3 linked regions of the Saccharomyces cerevisiae S288C genome follow. The gene in region 1 interacts genetically with each later gene. Each region holds a gene or a part of one and is shown in the gene's direction. Other genes may lie near its edges.

What was found. Genes that interact genetically often act in the same process or in processes that back each other up.
Region 2: mutations in SPT2 (region 1) and HOS2 together harm fitness more than expected from each alone (negative genetic interaction), as found in Saccharomyces cerevisiae (3 studies listed by BioGRID).
Region 3: of SPT2 (region 1) and RNH1, a mutation in one rescues a mutant of the other (synthetic rescue), as found in Saccharomyces cerevisiae (3 studies listed by BioGRID, with this or other methods).

The regions. Positions count from the first base shown.
Region 1 is NC_001137.3:498,106-502,897, reverse strand, and holds SPT2 (Spt2p), read left to right. Parts: upstream 1-2,549; coding exon 2,550-3,551; downstream 3,552-4,792. Other genes in the region: RAD4 (Rad4p), read left to right, coding at 4-2,268; YER159C-A (gag protein), read left to right, coding at 4,774-4,792. UniProt on the Saccharomyces cerevisiae protein: Histone chaperone that stabilizes pre-existing histone tetramers and regulates replication-independent histone exchange on chromatin.
Region 2 is NC_001139.9:138,846-143,849, reverse strand, and holds HOS2 (histone deacetylase HOS2), read left to right. Parts: upstream 1-2,123; coding exon 2,124-3,482; downstream 3,483-5,004. Other genes in the region: IME4 (mRNA (N6-adenosine)-methyltransferase), read right to left, coding at 1-1,604; YGL193C (uncharacterized protein), read left to right, coding at 1,623-1,934; YGL194C-A (uncharacterized protein), read left to right, coding at 3,889-4,131; GCN1 (Gcn1p), read right to left, coding at 4,307-5,004.
Region 3 is NC_001145.3:737,714-742,834, forward strand, and holds RNH1 (RNA-DNA hybrid ribonuclease), read left to right. Parts: upstream 1-2,552; coding exon 2,553-3,599; downstream 3,600-5,121. Other genes in the region: FUS2 (Fus2p), read left to right, coding at 1-1,246; TRI1 (Tri1p), read left to right, coding at 1,472-2,152; GTPase-activating protein RNA1, read right to left, coding at 3,799-5,022. UniProt on the Saccharomyces cerevisiae protein: Endonuclease that specifically degrades the RNA of RNA-DNA hybrids.

The DNA.
Region 1 (4,792 bases):
AAAATGAATGAAGACCTGCCCAAGGAATATTTTGAACTAATAAGGAAGGCTCTTAACGAGAAAGAGGCAGAAAAAGCGCCCCTGAGTAGAAGAAGAAGAGTCAGAAGGAAGAACCAGCCCCTACCAGATGCCAAGAAGAAGTTTAAAACAGGGTTGAATGAATTGCCACGAGAAAGCGTTGTTACTGTAAACTTAGATTCTTCAGATGATGGCGTCGTTACGGTACCGACGGATGATAGTGTAGAGGAAATCCAGTCATCTGAAGAAGATTATGATTCGGAGGAATTTGAAGACGTGACAGATGGAAATGAGGTGGCCGGTGTAGAAGATATATCTGTTGAAATTAAGCCCTCTAGTAAAAGGAATAGTGATGCTAGAAGGACAAGCCGCAACGTTTGTTCTAATGAAGAACGGAAAAGGAGAAAATATTTCCACATGTTGTATCTAGTTTGCTTGATGGTTCATGGATTTATACGAAATGAATGGATTAACAGCAAGCGCTTGTCTAGAAAACTGAGCAACTTAGTTCCTGAGAAAGTGTTTGAGCTACTGCATCCTCAGAAAGATGAGGAACTCCCACTTAGGAGTACTAGGAAATTATTAGATGGGTTGAAGAAATGCATGGAGTTATGGCAAAAACACTGGAAGATCACTAAAAAATATGATAATGTGGGACTTTATATGAGAACCTGGAAAGAAATTGAAATGAGCGCCAATAACAAAAGAAAATTCAAGACGTTGAAAAGATCTGACTTTTTAAGGGCCGTCAGTAAAGGTCACGGAGATCCTGATATTTCAGTGCAAGGTTTCGTTGCGATGCTCAGGGCTTGTAATGTTAACGCACGACTTATCATGTCATGTCAACCGCCAGATTTTACCAATATGAAGATTGACACTTCTTTGAATGGAAACAATGCGTACAAAGATATGGTCAAGTATCCGATTTTTTGGTGTGAAGTGTGGGACAAATTCTCTAAGAAATGGATAACTGTTGACCCAGTAAATCTCAAAACCATTGAACAGGTCAGACTTCATTCCAAGTTGGCACCGAAAGGCGTGGCGTGCTGCGAAAGAAATATGTTGAGGTACGTGATTGCTTACGATCGGAAGTATGGCTGTAGAGATGTAACTCGAAGATATGCCCAATGGATGAACTCTAAAGTAAGAAAAAGAAGAATTACTAAAGATGACTTTGGTGAGAAATGGTTCAGAAAAGTGATAACAGCACTTCACCATAGAAAGAGAACCAAAATTGATGATTACGAAGATCAATATTTTTTTCAGAGAGATGAAAGTGAAGGCATACCAGATTCGGTGCAGGATTTGAAAAACCACCCATATTATGTTTTAGAACAAGATATCAAACAGACTCAAATTGTAAAGCCAGGATGTAAAGAGTGTGGATATTTAAAAGTACATGGAAAAGTTGGGAAGGTTTTGAAAGTTTATGCAAAAAGAGATATTGCGGATTTGAAAAGTGCTAGACAATGGTACATGAACGGCCGAATTTTAAAAACTGGTAGCAGGTGTAAAAAGGTGATAAAGAGGACAGTTGGAAGGCCTAAGGGCGAAGCAGAAGAAGAAGATGAAAGATTATATAGCTTTGAAGACACAGAATTATACATCCCTCCATTAGCCAGTGCGAGCGGTGAAATAACCAAGAATACATTTGGAAACATCGAAGTTTTTGCACCAACGATGATACCTGGTAACTGTTGTTTGGTTGAGAATCCTGTGGCAATTAAAGCTGCTAGGTTTTTGGGGGTGGAATTTGCACCTGCTGTAACTTCTTTTAAGTTTGAACGCGGCAGTACAGTTAAGCCAGTTTTAAGTGGCATTGTTGTTGCAAAGTGGCTCAGAGAAGCTATTGAAACCGCTATTGATGGAATAGAGTTTATTCAAGAGGATGATAATAGGAAGGAACATTTGCTTGGTGCTTTGGAGAGTTGGAATACTTTACTGCTAAAACTGCGTATTCGTAGCAAGCTGAACTCCACATATGGTAAAATTGCCGAGGAAGAACCTAACGTTACGAAGGAACAGAATATTGCGGACAATCACGATAATACGGAGACTTTTATGGGAGGTGGGTTCCTACCAGGTATAGCAAACCACGAAGCAAGGCCGTATAGTGAACCTTCAGAGCCAGAAGATAGTTTAGATTATGTTTCTGTTGACAAAGCGGAGGAAAGTGCTACAGACGACGATGTCGGGGAGGATTATTCGGATTTTATGAAAGAACTAGAGATGTCAGAGGAATCAGACTGAAATGAGGCTGAAACGGTTTGAATAATTAGGAAAGTATGTTTTTAATAAAGAAATTCTATGTTCAGGAATTTTGTATATACTTTGTAATGAATGAGAACTTAGTTGGCTTCAAACTTTTTCGTTTAACATGATTATTTTTCTTGTTCGACTAAGATATTCCCACATGGACAAGTGCCACAGATTAATATATGAATACAATAAAATAACTAGTGTAATTTGAAAATAAAAGTTGATGAGAGGGACAGGGACTTGAGTCCTATTCAAAGTGAAATATTTTAGTTATGAGTTTTCTTTCCAAACTTTCCCAAATACGAAAATCAACGACTGCATCAAAAGCCCAAGTGCAAGATCCATTACCCAAGAAGAATGACGAAGAGTATTCCTTGTTACCCAAAAATTACATAAGAGACGAAGATCCTGCAGTAAAAAGATTGAAGGAGCTGAGGCGGCAGGAACTGTTAAAGAATGGTGCTTTGGCTAAAAAAAGTGGTGTAAAACGGAAACGTGGCACCTCATCTGGATCTGAGAAAAAGAAAATAGAAAGGAATGACGATGATGAAGGTGGCCTTGGAATTAGGTTTAAGAGGTCTATTGGAGCAAGTCATGCGCCACTCAAGCCAGTTGTAAGGAAGAAACCTGAACCTATCAAAAAGATGTCATTTGAAGAGCTAATGAAACAAGCGGAAAATAATGAGAAACAGCCCCCAAAAGTTAAGTCATCGGAACCCGTAACTAAGGAACGCCCACATTTTAACAAGCCAGGTTTCAAAAGTTCAAAAAGACCACAAAAGAAAGCATCCCCTGGCGCAACATTGCGTGGAGTATCTTCTGGAGGCAATAGCATAAAATCATCAGACTCACCCAAGCCCGTCAAGCTCAACTTGCCCACAAATGGATTTGCTCAACCTAATAGGAGATTAAAAGAAAAGTTAGAATCTAGAAAACAGAAATCAAGATACCAGGATGACTATGATGAAGAAGATAACGATATGGATGATTTTATAGAAGACGATGAAGATGAAGGTTACCACAGCAAATCGAAACACAGCAATGGTCCCGGATATGATCGTGACGAAATTTGGGCTATGTTCAATAGAGGCAAGAAGCGGTCAGAATACGATTACGATGAGCTTGAGGATGATGATATGGAAGCAAATGAGATGGAAATCTTGGAAGAGGAGGAAATGGCAAGAAAAATGGCAAGGTTAGAGGATAAACGTGAGGAAGCTTGGTTAAAAAAGCATGAAGAGGAGAAGAGACGCCGTAAGAAGGGCATACGCTAAGGAATATTGATATATGTTTTGATATATGGACGTGAAATGACTAATGAAGTCGTAGAGAGTTTGGGAACTGTTTCGAGGCACTGTTTCACTTCTTACATTCATTTTCATACCCTTTGTAATTGCGTTTTCCATTTATCCAGTTTGCCTGTCCGATTTTCAAACGTACAGTGATGATATGCATCAGTTGGGTTAGAACATTTATATTGTGTATCGCCCATAATTCTATAAACTTTACTATGTAAAAATAAAAATGAACCTTCACTATTCTTTCAAGACGGACTGAAAATTTAAAGACTTGGTTGTTGCAGTTGATCGATTATACAAGACTAACAATTCCAGTATCATTTTTGCCTTAATTTGAGACCTTTTTCAACAAGATTCGCGGCAACGTAGTTGTATTTTTTTTTTTCCACAACCCGTTTCCTTACAAAAGCATTCGGAAACTAAACATAAATATGGACCAGCTTTACAAGAGCTATGGTATGTTCATATTATTAGGATATATTAGGTGAGATATTAAAAAATGAAACAAATTGTGTCACCAGTTAGATAGGATTCAAGTAGTCATTAAAATAGAAACAAGCGTTTAGGGTATGCGTTAAAAGAAACTCTAGCAACCTCCAATTGCCAGTGAAAAACTTCCCGAGAAATACTACAACGACAGTGATACATCATACACTTAATAACACTGTAAGGTCCTCAGTTTTTCCAGGTGGAAGGATCAAATACATACCCTTAATCAATATAAGTAAGTCGAAGGAAGAGATTCGAGCAATGCATTAAAATATGATATTTCAACACATTGACTAAAACGGTTGTATATTCTTAGCCCACTGTGTTGTATCTCAAAATGAGATACGTCAGTATGACAATACGTCATCCTAAACGTTCATAAAACACATATGAAACAACCTTATAACAAAACTGTTGGAATAAAAATCCACTATCGTCTATCAACTAATAGTTATATTATCAATATATTATCATATACGGTGTTAAGATGATGACATAAGTTATGAGAAGCTGTCATCGATGTTAGAGGAAGCTGAAACGCAAGGATTGATAATGTAATAGGATCAATGAATATAAACATATAAAACGGAATGAGGAATAATCGTAATATTAGTATGTAGAAATATAGATCCCATTTTGAGGATTCCTATATCCTCGAGGAGAACTTCTAGTATATTCTGTATACCTAATATTATAGCCTTTATCAACAATGGAATCCCAACAATTAT
Region 2 (5,004 bases), on another chromosome or scaffold:
TTAGTACCAGTGTGGCTGGTTCCAGTTTTGCTCTTCATAAACTCCTGGTACTTCCTCTCGACATCCATTTCGTAAATGCAATTTCCTGTCAACTGGTTTCCGATGGTAAACCAGCCAGGCCGCGTATTGTGATCCCTTCCGAATATCTCTAGTTTTCTGGCATGGGTGCCTGCCAACCGTTCTGCTATACCATACAGTTCATCAGGCTTTCTACTAGTCTCTCTGGTCATTGATACGATCAAATCGACGTCAATATGTTTGTTGATCCACTTTGGATTACCCTTTAAGCCCACCAATAAATGCTCCTTAGAATGATTTAACCAATGACCCGTACGACCTGTAACAATTGTTCTACCCAGTTGGTTTGTCTTTATCCATGAAACTTCATTTATCACGTTGTAACCCCAGTTATTCAAAGACTCTTTACCCAATTCTATAGCTCTACCCGTCACCCAAAGAAAAATAATACCTTCATCTTGTAGTTCGTGCAAAGGCAAACCTAATAGTTCAATATCGTTGCAAGTACCGTATGGTAGGTTCATATGGATATTCCATGCAGGATCTGCAATAACTACCGAAAACTTTCCAAGAACCCTAAAATCAAATTTCCGCACATCGCAACGGATCCACTGTGCAGGTAAAGCCTTTTTGATACAATGTGCGGAGCAATTGCCCAGAGTATAAAATGGAATGGAAACGTTTGACCGTATTCTTTTATTTTCACTCGCAGTTTCACGATCAGCTCGCTCTTGCAAGCATGACGGAATATATTGCAGGTAATGAATGTATCGACACGTATTTAATTTATGACAGGTATCCAAATAGGAACAATCTCCTAACGAAATATCAGTTTGTGGTTTGATATTAGGGATAAAGTGAATTTTTGATTGAATGCACTCAATTAATCCTGGGTGATTTTCCTGACATGCGGATATTTTGGACCATTGTAAAGAAACGATTTTGTTATTGACAATGTACACCGAGGTGGACAATAGAGATGCATGCGAATAGTCACTACATATCGGGATGTATTCAATGACCTCGGTCGTGTATTTGGCTCTTTCTTTAGCAAGCTGAAAAGATGATGGTTTTTCCCTCAATAAATTTTGTAAGCGATTGCTCAGTTGTTCACGTGGTAACCCCTGGTTGCTGACGTTAACGTCCCAGTTCAGGACTCCAAGCAGTCTACCCAGCAGTTGGTCTTTTTCCGAATCAGCTTCCGGTTTTGTTGTTAAACTCGACACTTTTTCTTCACATGAAGAACTGGACGATTTTAATGTATAGTAGAAGGCATGGAACTTGTTATAGAGAATTTTCAAGGAAAAAACGTCCAGGTAAACAATTTTTTCTGGCCTATCTGCCACTAATAGATTCTGGTCAAATTGAATGGACTGCGGCGTTGCAAATATAATATCCTGAAGATCATTCCAAAACTGTTCAAACTGTAAGACCTCGTCTTTATCGTTTCTCAACTTCTGCATCTCATCATCGTATCCGCCACTGATGTACAGTGAATACACATCTTTGAGCTGTCCAGAAAGCGGTGCTCTTAGGATGTCATCATAATTCTGGATCAGAAAATGTACTAGTTTATCGTTAATCATAGCCTGCTTACAACTTTTATGAATTCAAGTCTGAATGCCAATTCTTATTTTTTTCGAAAACCCCCAATGCTAACTTATATGGTCCGTTTTCTTTACTGTTATCCATCTCCCTTTCCTATAGCTCCAGCGGTTACCGATCTTCCAGAATGCCGGGGAGATCTTTCTCTTTCTTTGTTTATAACAAGTTTCACAAGCACGAAAGAAAGAACAATACTGTACGCCAAAAGCCGCCTAAAGACGCATATTCCCGTCAATTTATGTGACCGGTACCACTATATACCTAAGGCACCTCTATACCAATGTAGAATGCCCTGTTTATACTCTATATAGAGGATTCTCGATGTTCTTTGGGGCATCGTTAAACGTGATATTCCTACTATGTTACTAAATGTTGAACTGAAAGCATCTTGAAACGATTCTAATCAGTTTTAGGTGTGTCGCCAATGTACAGTTATAGAAAAGACGCCAGATTACTCAAGTACGTTAAAATCAGGTATCAAGTGAATAACAACACGCAACATGTCTGGAACATTTAGTTATGATGTGAAAACAAAGGAGAACGAACCATTATTTGAGTTTAATTCTGCTTATTCTCCCAGGGTATCGTATCATTTTAACTCCAAAGTTTCACATTACCATTATGGTGTTAAGCATCCAATGAAGCCGTTTCGGTTAATGCTAACGGATCACCTAGTTTCCTCTTATGGATTGCACAAGATTATGGACCTTTATGAAACAAGAAGCGCTACCAGAGACGAATTACTACAATTTCACTCGGAAGACTACGTGAATTTTCTCTCGAAGGTTTCACCAGAAAATGCAAACAAACTGCCCAGAGGCACACTTGAAAATTTTAACATTGGAGACGACTGTCCTATTTTTCAAAATTTATATGATTATACAACACTATACACTGGTGCGAGCCTTGACGCCACCAGGAAACTAATCAACAATCAATCGGACATAGCGATAAATTGGTCTGGTGGTCTTCATCATGCAAAAAAGAATAGTCCATCTGGGTTTTGCTATGTAAATGATATTGTGCTTTCTATTTTGAACTTATTACGATATCACCCAAGAATCCTTTATATCGATATCGACTTACATCACGGCGATGGTGTCCAGGAGGCATTTTACACCACAGATAGGGTCTTCACGTTGTCTTTTCATAAATATAATGGCGAATTTTTCCCAGGAACTGGTGATCTGACAGAAATTGGTTGCGACAAAGGAAAACATTTCGCATTAAATGTACCCCTAGAAGATGGCATAGATGACGACTCATATATAAACCTTTTCAAGTCAATTGTAGATCCTCTAATAATGACTTTCAAACCAACACTTATTGTCCAACAATGCGGTGCGGATTCCTTAGGTCATGATCGCTTAGGATGCTTCAATTTAAATATAAAGGCACATGGAGAATGCGTAAAATTTGTCAAATCATTTGGTCTACCAATGCTAGTAGTGGGCGGTGGAGGTTATACACCTAGAAATGTATCACGGCTTTGGACCTACGAGACAGGAATTTTAAATGATGTCTTGCTACCAGAAGACATCCCCGAAGATATCCCATTCCGGGACTCATTCGGGCCGGATTATTCACTTTATCCTATGTTAGATGACTTATACGAAAACAAAAACAGTAAAAAACTACTGGAAGACATTAGAATACGATGTCTAGAAAATATCAGATACTTGCAAGGAGCACCAAGTGTCAGAATGGATGCTGAATGCATACCGACACAAGATATAAGTGCCCTGACAGAAGAAGAGGATAAAATCATTCAAGAAATGAATGAAGAAACAGAAGCAGACAGTTCAAATAGGCTAGAAGAAATGGAAAAAGAAAACAGTGGATTGATTGCCTTTTCATAGTTTAAGAGTTTGCTATTCGGTTAATCTCCCGTTTTTTTTTTTTTTTTTTTTTTTATTTTCCTTTTTTTTTTTTTAATGTTTTTAGCATATTATGTAGAGTGTTAAGGCCTTAAAAGTTATTTGCATCATTGTTAAAAATGACATGTATTGTATAAGAGTTCGGCTCTTCGATGCCGTCAGAAACATTTTTGGAAGGTGCACTCCGTATTCGAGACACTTCTGAAACGGACAAGTCACCAAACTACTCTGAAAACAACAAAAAAAAGCCTTTTCTTATAATTTGAAAGCTTCTCCCGCAGCATTATCGATATCGTGAAACTTCCAAAATCTTTCTTAATTAAACCGGACATCAGTGTCTACAACATTAGAGCAAGTCACTCAGTTCATGTAATACATCTGGACAATTATGTCTAATAAAGAGATAACTTGTATCAAACCGTTTAAAATTATTGCTCTAATTTTATTGATAGTTCTAATAATAAACCTCTCTTATAAGTTATTTCTGAGACGCTATTTAAAGTCGACAGTTATTTGGTGTTTAGGAATCGCCAATACAGATCGTAACGATATGATGTGGTGGCAAGTCTCGCCACTATTAGAGCGCTGGGTTTGGCAGTTAGTTGACAATTATGAATCCGGGTACGAATAATTATCAAGCCCTTATTAGCTACAATGCTGGGAGCAATAGATATATAAATAACCCTTATGCACAGCGGAAGACTTCAAAATATCTTTGTCTTTTATATCATTATGTGGTATGTATTATATAACGAGAATAATATATCAAATACAAAAAGTAACGAGGTTACCACATTGAATTTTCTTCAAATATCAGTGGTTAATTCAACACCTCCGACAGCCCATATTTCTCTTTCATCTTCAAATCTGTCACTAAACATTGTTTCCGCGTCTCCTCCGGCAGCAATCCTTTCTCTTTCGACATTTGCTAACCTTTTACCAACCCTCTTGGTATAGTCCCCAACAGACCGTAATTGAATTGTAGTACCTGTGACAGTTTCGATGCTGTTACCGCGATCTGAAATTTTAGCAAACCACTCGTTGAAAGTATGCATGTCATCTTCTTCAACCAATTTGAACAAAGCTAAATATGCTTTTTCTGCTGCGAGCTTAATTGGGATAACAGGATCACGCAAGCAAGAAAATACAGATGGTCCTACTACATCGAAGTATTGCTTAATGCACTCGTCAAATTTGAATCTGGCTAGTGTTCTTATAACCACCAAGGCCAACCTTCTTACATCCGTAGAATTACTGGCTGGTTGTAAGACAGCTTTGCTCAACTCATTAATTAACAGATTGATGTTTTCATCGCCAATTTTGAATGGTTCTGCAGCATCCTTTTTAACAAATGGAGACCTCTTTTCTCCTTCTAATAAAAGTAATTTACCAGCAGCAATGGTACCATTTTCTCCGAAGTAAACATCAGGGGAACGGATTGCATTCAAAATGTAACTTACAAATTCGTCTATCAAGCCCGTATTGAATATATGTGTTGGTGCAT
Region 3 (5,121 bases), on another chromosome or scaffold:
ATATTGTTTAAAAGAGAGTGGATGTATAAAGTTAGAGGACATATTGAAAAGCCCGATGAAAAGACTGACTCAGTGGATTGATACTTTGGAAACTTTGGAAAGCTGTTACGAAGATATTCTTTCGCCAGAATTGGGCTTGAAACTAAGCCCGACAAGAAGAAAATATTCTTTATTTTCCAATAAGTTAGAAACCGAGGTCTCCGAGTATAAGAGTAATTCCATGTATAATTTCAGTTTAACCCCATCAGAGATTATACAAAGTTATGATGAAGATCAGTTTACACACCTTTTAAAACCCCCAGACAAACAAAATAAAAATATATGTAATGCATCTCGACAAGAGAGTAATTTGGATAATAGTAGAGTTCCTTCTCTTCTTTCTGGATCATCGAGTTACTACTCAGATGTATCAGGGCTAGAAATTGTCACTAATACTTCAACTGCCTCAGCTGAGATGATAAATCTAAAAATGGATGAAGAAACAGAATTTTTTACATTGGCAGATCACATCAGTAAATTCAAGAAAGTAATGAAAGGTTTGTTAGAATTAAAAAAGAATTTATTGAAAAACGATCTGTCAGGCATTATTGATATCAGTTTAAGAAGAATAAATGCATGGAAAAAGGTGATCGAGTGCGAACGCCCTTCTGGTGCATTTTTTGCGCACGATAACTTAATATCGACCATGTGTTCTTCGTACATAGATAAACTGCATGAACAAAAAAATCAAGTAACAATTTTGAAACTCACAGAGCTCGAAACAGATGTGATGAACCCACTTGAAAGAATCATAGCCCATTGTACTACCGTTAAAAGCAAACTAAAAGATTTGCAAGCTTTGAAGAAAGATTACATGTTATTTTTACAAGAAAAAAAAGCAAATGTGCGAGATATTAAACGTGACTTGTTGGGAATGCATTTCCAAAACCTGCAAAACCAGATGAAAAGGGAATTACCGGTCTTTATTACTTTGATCCACGATACTATCGAATGTATCTTGTTGAACTATATCAAAGTCTTCTTAAAATATTTGGAAATCATTGCTGGTGGAAAAAAATACCTGCAAAAAGATCTTGAAAATATGTCTCTTAATGACTCTATAGCTACCGGCCAAATTAAAAATCTTGATATTTTGCAGTGTTATTCTAAATCACGATATATGACAAAACGCATGGTAAGAAAAGATTGGCCTTTCCCTGGAGACCCTAGTGGAAGCCGTGTTGTCAGAAAACTTTTCGAACTTTAACAAAAGAGTATATTTAGCTTATAGTTTTTAGAATGTTTTGTTTTCTTTTTTATTAAAGTAGTACTACTGCGCTGGAGCAGTATATATGTTGAACTATAGTCAGTCACCTATAATTTGTTTGCTGGCGCGAAGGAGAAAGAAAATTTTAATTAATTCATGAAAAGCCTTAAGAAAAAGTTTAAGAGGAAATGAGCAAATAGAAGGCAAATAGAGGGTGAAAGCATTATGGCCGACATCAATAAATATATTCCGATGGTTGACGCTATTTTGAGCGTATCCAACCCCGATGAAATAAGCCCAAAAAGGGTGAGGAAAGCCCTGCAAATTCTCTATTCAGTTAATTTGGATTCACAAAGAAAGTTAATTAATGAATTGATTCTTGAGAGGTTCGGCGATATACAAGAAAACCCAAGAGTCTTAATTCCGAAGAACGACCTCATTAGTCGGGATCAAGAACTATCTTTGAGGTTACAGAAGGAAGAAGAAAGACCCTTGAGGTCTACGAGGAAAAGGAAAGGTAAAAGTGAAAGTAAATCTAAAAGGAAGAAGAAAAAGAATGATAGTCCTGATTCCAACAGCATTTCCGTCCGCAAAGTTCTGTTGTCAGCTCCTTTACAAAAGTTTCTAGGATCTGAAGAACTGCCACGAACGCAAGTAGTGAAGATGATATGGCAGTATATCAAAGAGCATGATCTTCAAAACCCAAAAGATCGTAGAGAAATTCTATGCGATGAGAAGATGGAACCAATTTTTGGCAAAAAAATGACGATGTTTTCAATGAATAAACTCTTAACTAAGCACTTGTTTAATCCCGATGAAATTGTGAAACATGAAGAGGAACAAAAGCAAACACCCGAAAAAGAAATCAAATTGGAAAACGAATCTCTTCCCAATTTAAGCGGTTGATCTTGGCTGTAGCACTTATACAAATTTAATGATTTTTTTTCCTCTTTGATGACATGTATAAAGCACACTGCACCTACTGTATTGTACTTGAAACAGGTAAATTAACAATTAATGTAGCATTAGTAATAAATAATTTCACTTCACGGCGTTAAAGAAATACTATGGCAAATTCGATTTGAGAATTTCGTCAAATTCTGATGATATCAATTAATGGCATATTTTTTTTATTTTTTATCTGGAGAAAAAAATGTAAAAATGACAGCAGCATCAACAATGAATAAAAGCAAGTACAATAGTCGTAAAGATCTATATTAATTTCATGGCAGCACAATAATACACGTTGTTTAAATTAGTTAAAGTGTCACTCCTTGCTTATCGAAGGAACTATCGATTCCTAATTATGGCAAGGCAAGGGAACTTCTACGCGGTTAGAAAGGGCAGGGAAACTGGGATCTATAATACATGGAATGAATGTAAAAACCAAGTTGATGGTTATGGTGGTGCAATTTATAAAAAATTTAACAGCTACGAGCAAGCGAAATCTTTCCTAGGTCAACCAAATACTACATCAAACTATGGAAGTTCAACGCATGCTGGAGGGCAAGTTAGTAAACCTCATACCACTCAAAAGCGAGTTCATCGAAGGAATCGGCCACTTCATTATTCCTCCTTGACATCGTCATCAGCATGTTCATCTTTAAGCTCTGCTAATACAAATACCTTTTATTCAGTAAAGAGTAATGTTCCAAATATCGAGAGTAAAATCTTTAACAATTGGAAAGACTGTCAAGCCTATGTCAAGCATAAAAGGGGTATAACCTTCAAGAAGTTTGAAGACCAATTAGCTGCGGAAAACTTCATTAGTGGTATGAGTGCGCATGATTACAAGCTCATGAATATATCCAAAGAAAGTTTTGAATCTAAGTATAAGCTTTCTAGCAATACCATGTACAACAAGTCTATGAACGTTTACTGTGATGGTTCAAGTTTTGGAAACGGCACGTCATCTTCAAGGGCAGGTTATGGTGCATATTTTGAAGGAGCGCCAGAGGAAAATATTTCAGAACCCTTATTATCGGGAGCTCAAACTAATAATAGAGCTGAAATCGAAGCAGTATCAGAAGCTTTGAAGAAAATCTGGGAAAAGTTAACTAATGAAAAGGAAAAAGTAAATTATCAAATCAAAACTGATTCAGAGTACGTAACCAAATTATTAAATGACAGGTATATGACGTATGATAATAAAAAACTTGAAGGGCTACCTAATTCTGATTTAATTGTTCCTTTGGTGCAGAGGTTCGTTAAAGTTAAAAAGTACTATGAGTTGAATAAAGAGTGCTTCAAAAATAATGGTAAATTTCAGATTGAATGGGTAAAAGGACACGATGGTGATCCAGGAAATGAAATGGCAGATTTTCTGGCGAAGAAAGGAGCATCTAGACGATAATGCTGTTTTTTGCTTGGCTTCTTACTGGACCTGTTGTACCTGTAATAGAAATATATATTTTATATCTTTTGCATACATATACATACATCAGCTATTTGGTTTTTTAACTTACCCGATAACTATCTATAAGCGTGTCACCATGATATTTGCCTGAACCTCGTCCACAGTTGATTGTGTTTATTTTTACTTTTATTCATAGCTATTTGATTTCAGTTTCAGCTAAACGTTCAGCAAGATCATCTACTTGTACTTCTAGCAGTTCCTTTTCAAGCCTTTCCGTTTCAATTTCTTCGAGTTTTTCATCCTCGTCCTCGTCTTCCTCGTCCTCGCCTTCCTCATCTTCACTATCGACCTCTTCAAAATCGTCAACCTCTAAATCATCAAATTTGCTTTGGAGCAAATCTAAAGCATCAGAATCTTCATCTAATCTGTTACCATTTATTTCTAGCTTTTCCAATTCAGGTAAATTTCCCTTTTCCATAGCCGGTAAGAAGGATACTTCAATGGTTTCTTGAGCCATTTCATTATATTCGAATTTCAAGACATGCAAATTGGGGAATTTAACTTCGGTGAATACTTTAAAGACTTCATCTGAACCAGCAGTTTTCAAAAGACAGTCGTTCAAATTCAATTCAAATAAACTATCCTTCCATGTAGGCAAGGCCTTAGCAAGGATCAAAGAAGCATGTTTCGTGAAAGTATTGTCTTGAAGATCCAAGATTTCCAAGTTTTTCAAGTACTGTAAACCGTAATGAATTAGCGTGGCGACACCTTTAGGCCTAATACCATTTTGGTACAGCTTTACGACTTTCAAACCTTCGGAGTGGCTTTTCAAACCCAGAGCTAAGTAGACTGCGGATCCATTCTCTAATCTATTTCTACCACAGATAAAAGTTTCCAAAAATGGTTTGGAAGCAGCTTTCTTATTTTGAGCGAGATGAAATAGGGCCTTACCAATCCTTTCACCAGCAAAAGGGCCCATACCATTGTTACTTAAGATCAAATGTTTGATATTCACGGCATGTGCAATGTAATCTTCTAGTAACTCGATTGTTCTTAGCCCAAACGCATTATCAGAAAGGTTCACAATCTCCAAGTGAGGACATTTCAACAGAACAGGCAATAAAAACTTCAACGAATCAACGACTTCGTCAACCAACCTCGAAGTGTATAAGTCAGCAAAATTTACTTCAACCAAAGATTCCCTGACCTGTGTATTTTCAGCGATGCATTTAGCTAATGCTTCCGAAGCTTCAGTACCGATTGTATTCCCTGAAAGGTCTAATTTGGTACAGGTTTTCAAAGCTGCCAATTCTTCCAGGTATGGTTTGATATCGTCACTGGTTGTTAACTTGAGTGCCTTCCCAGAGATGGAGTAAACTTGTTCTTCCTCGTGCTGAGGAACGAAGTGCAAGGTAGCCATAGCTAAAAATCTGTTTCGAAAGACAGCCTGTTAAAATGGCCTATATTCACCTTTTACCGTGATATTATGCCTTTGATCAATATCTTCCTAATAAATTTT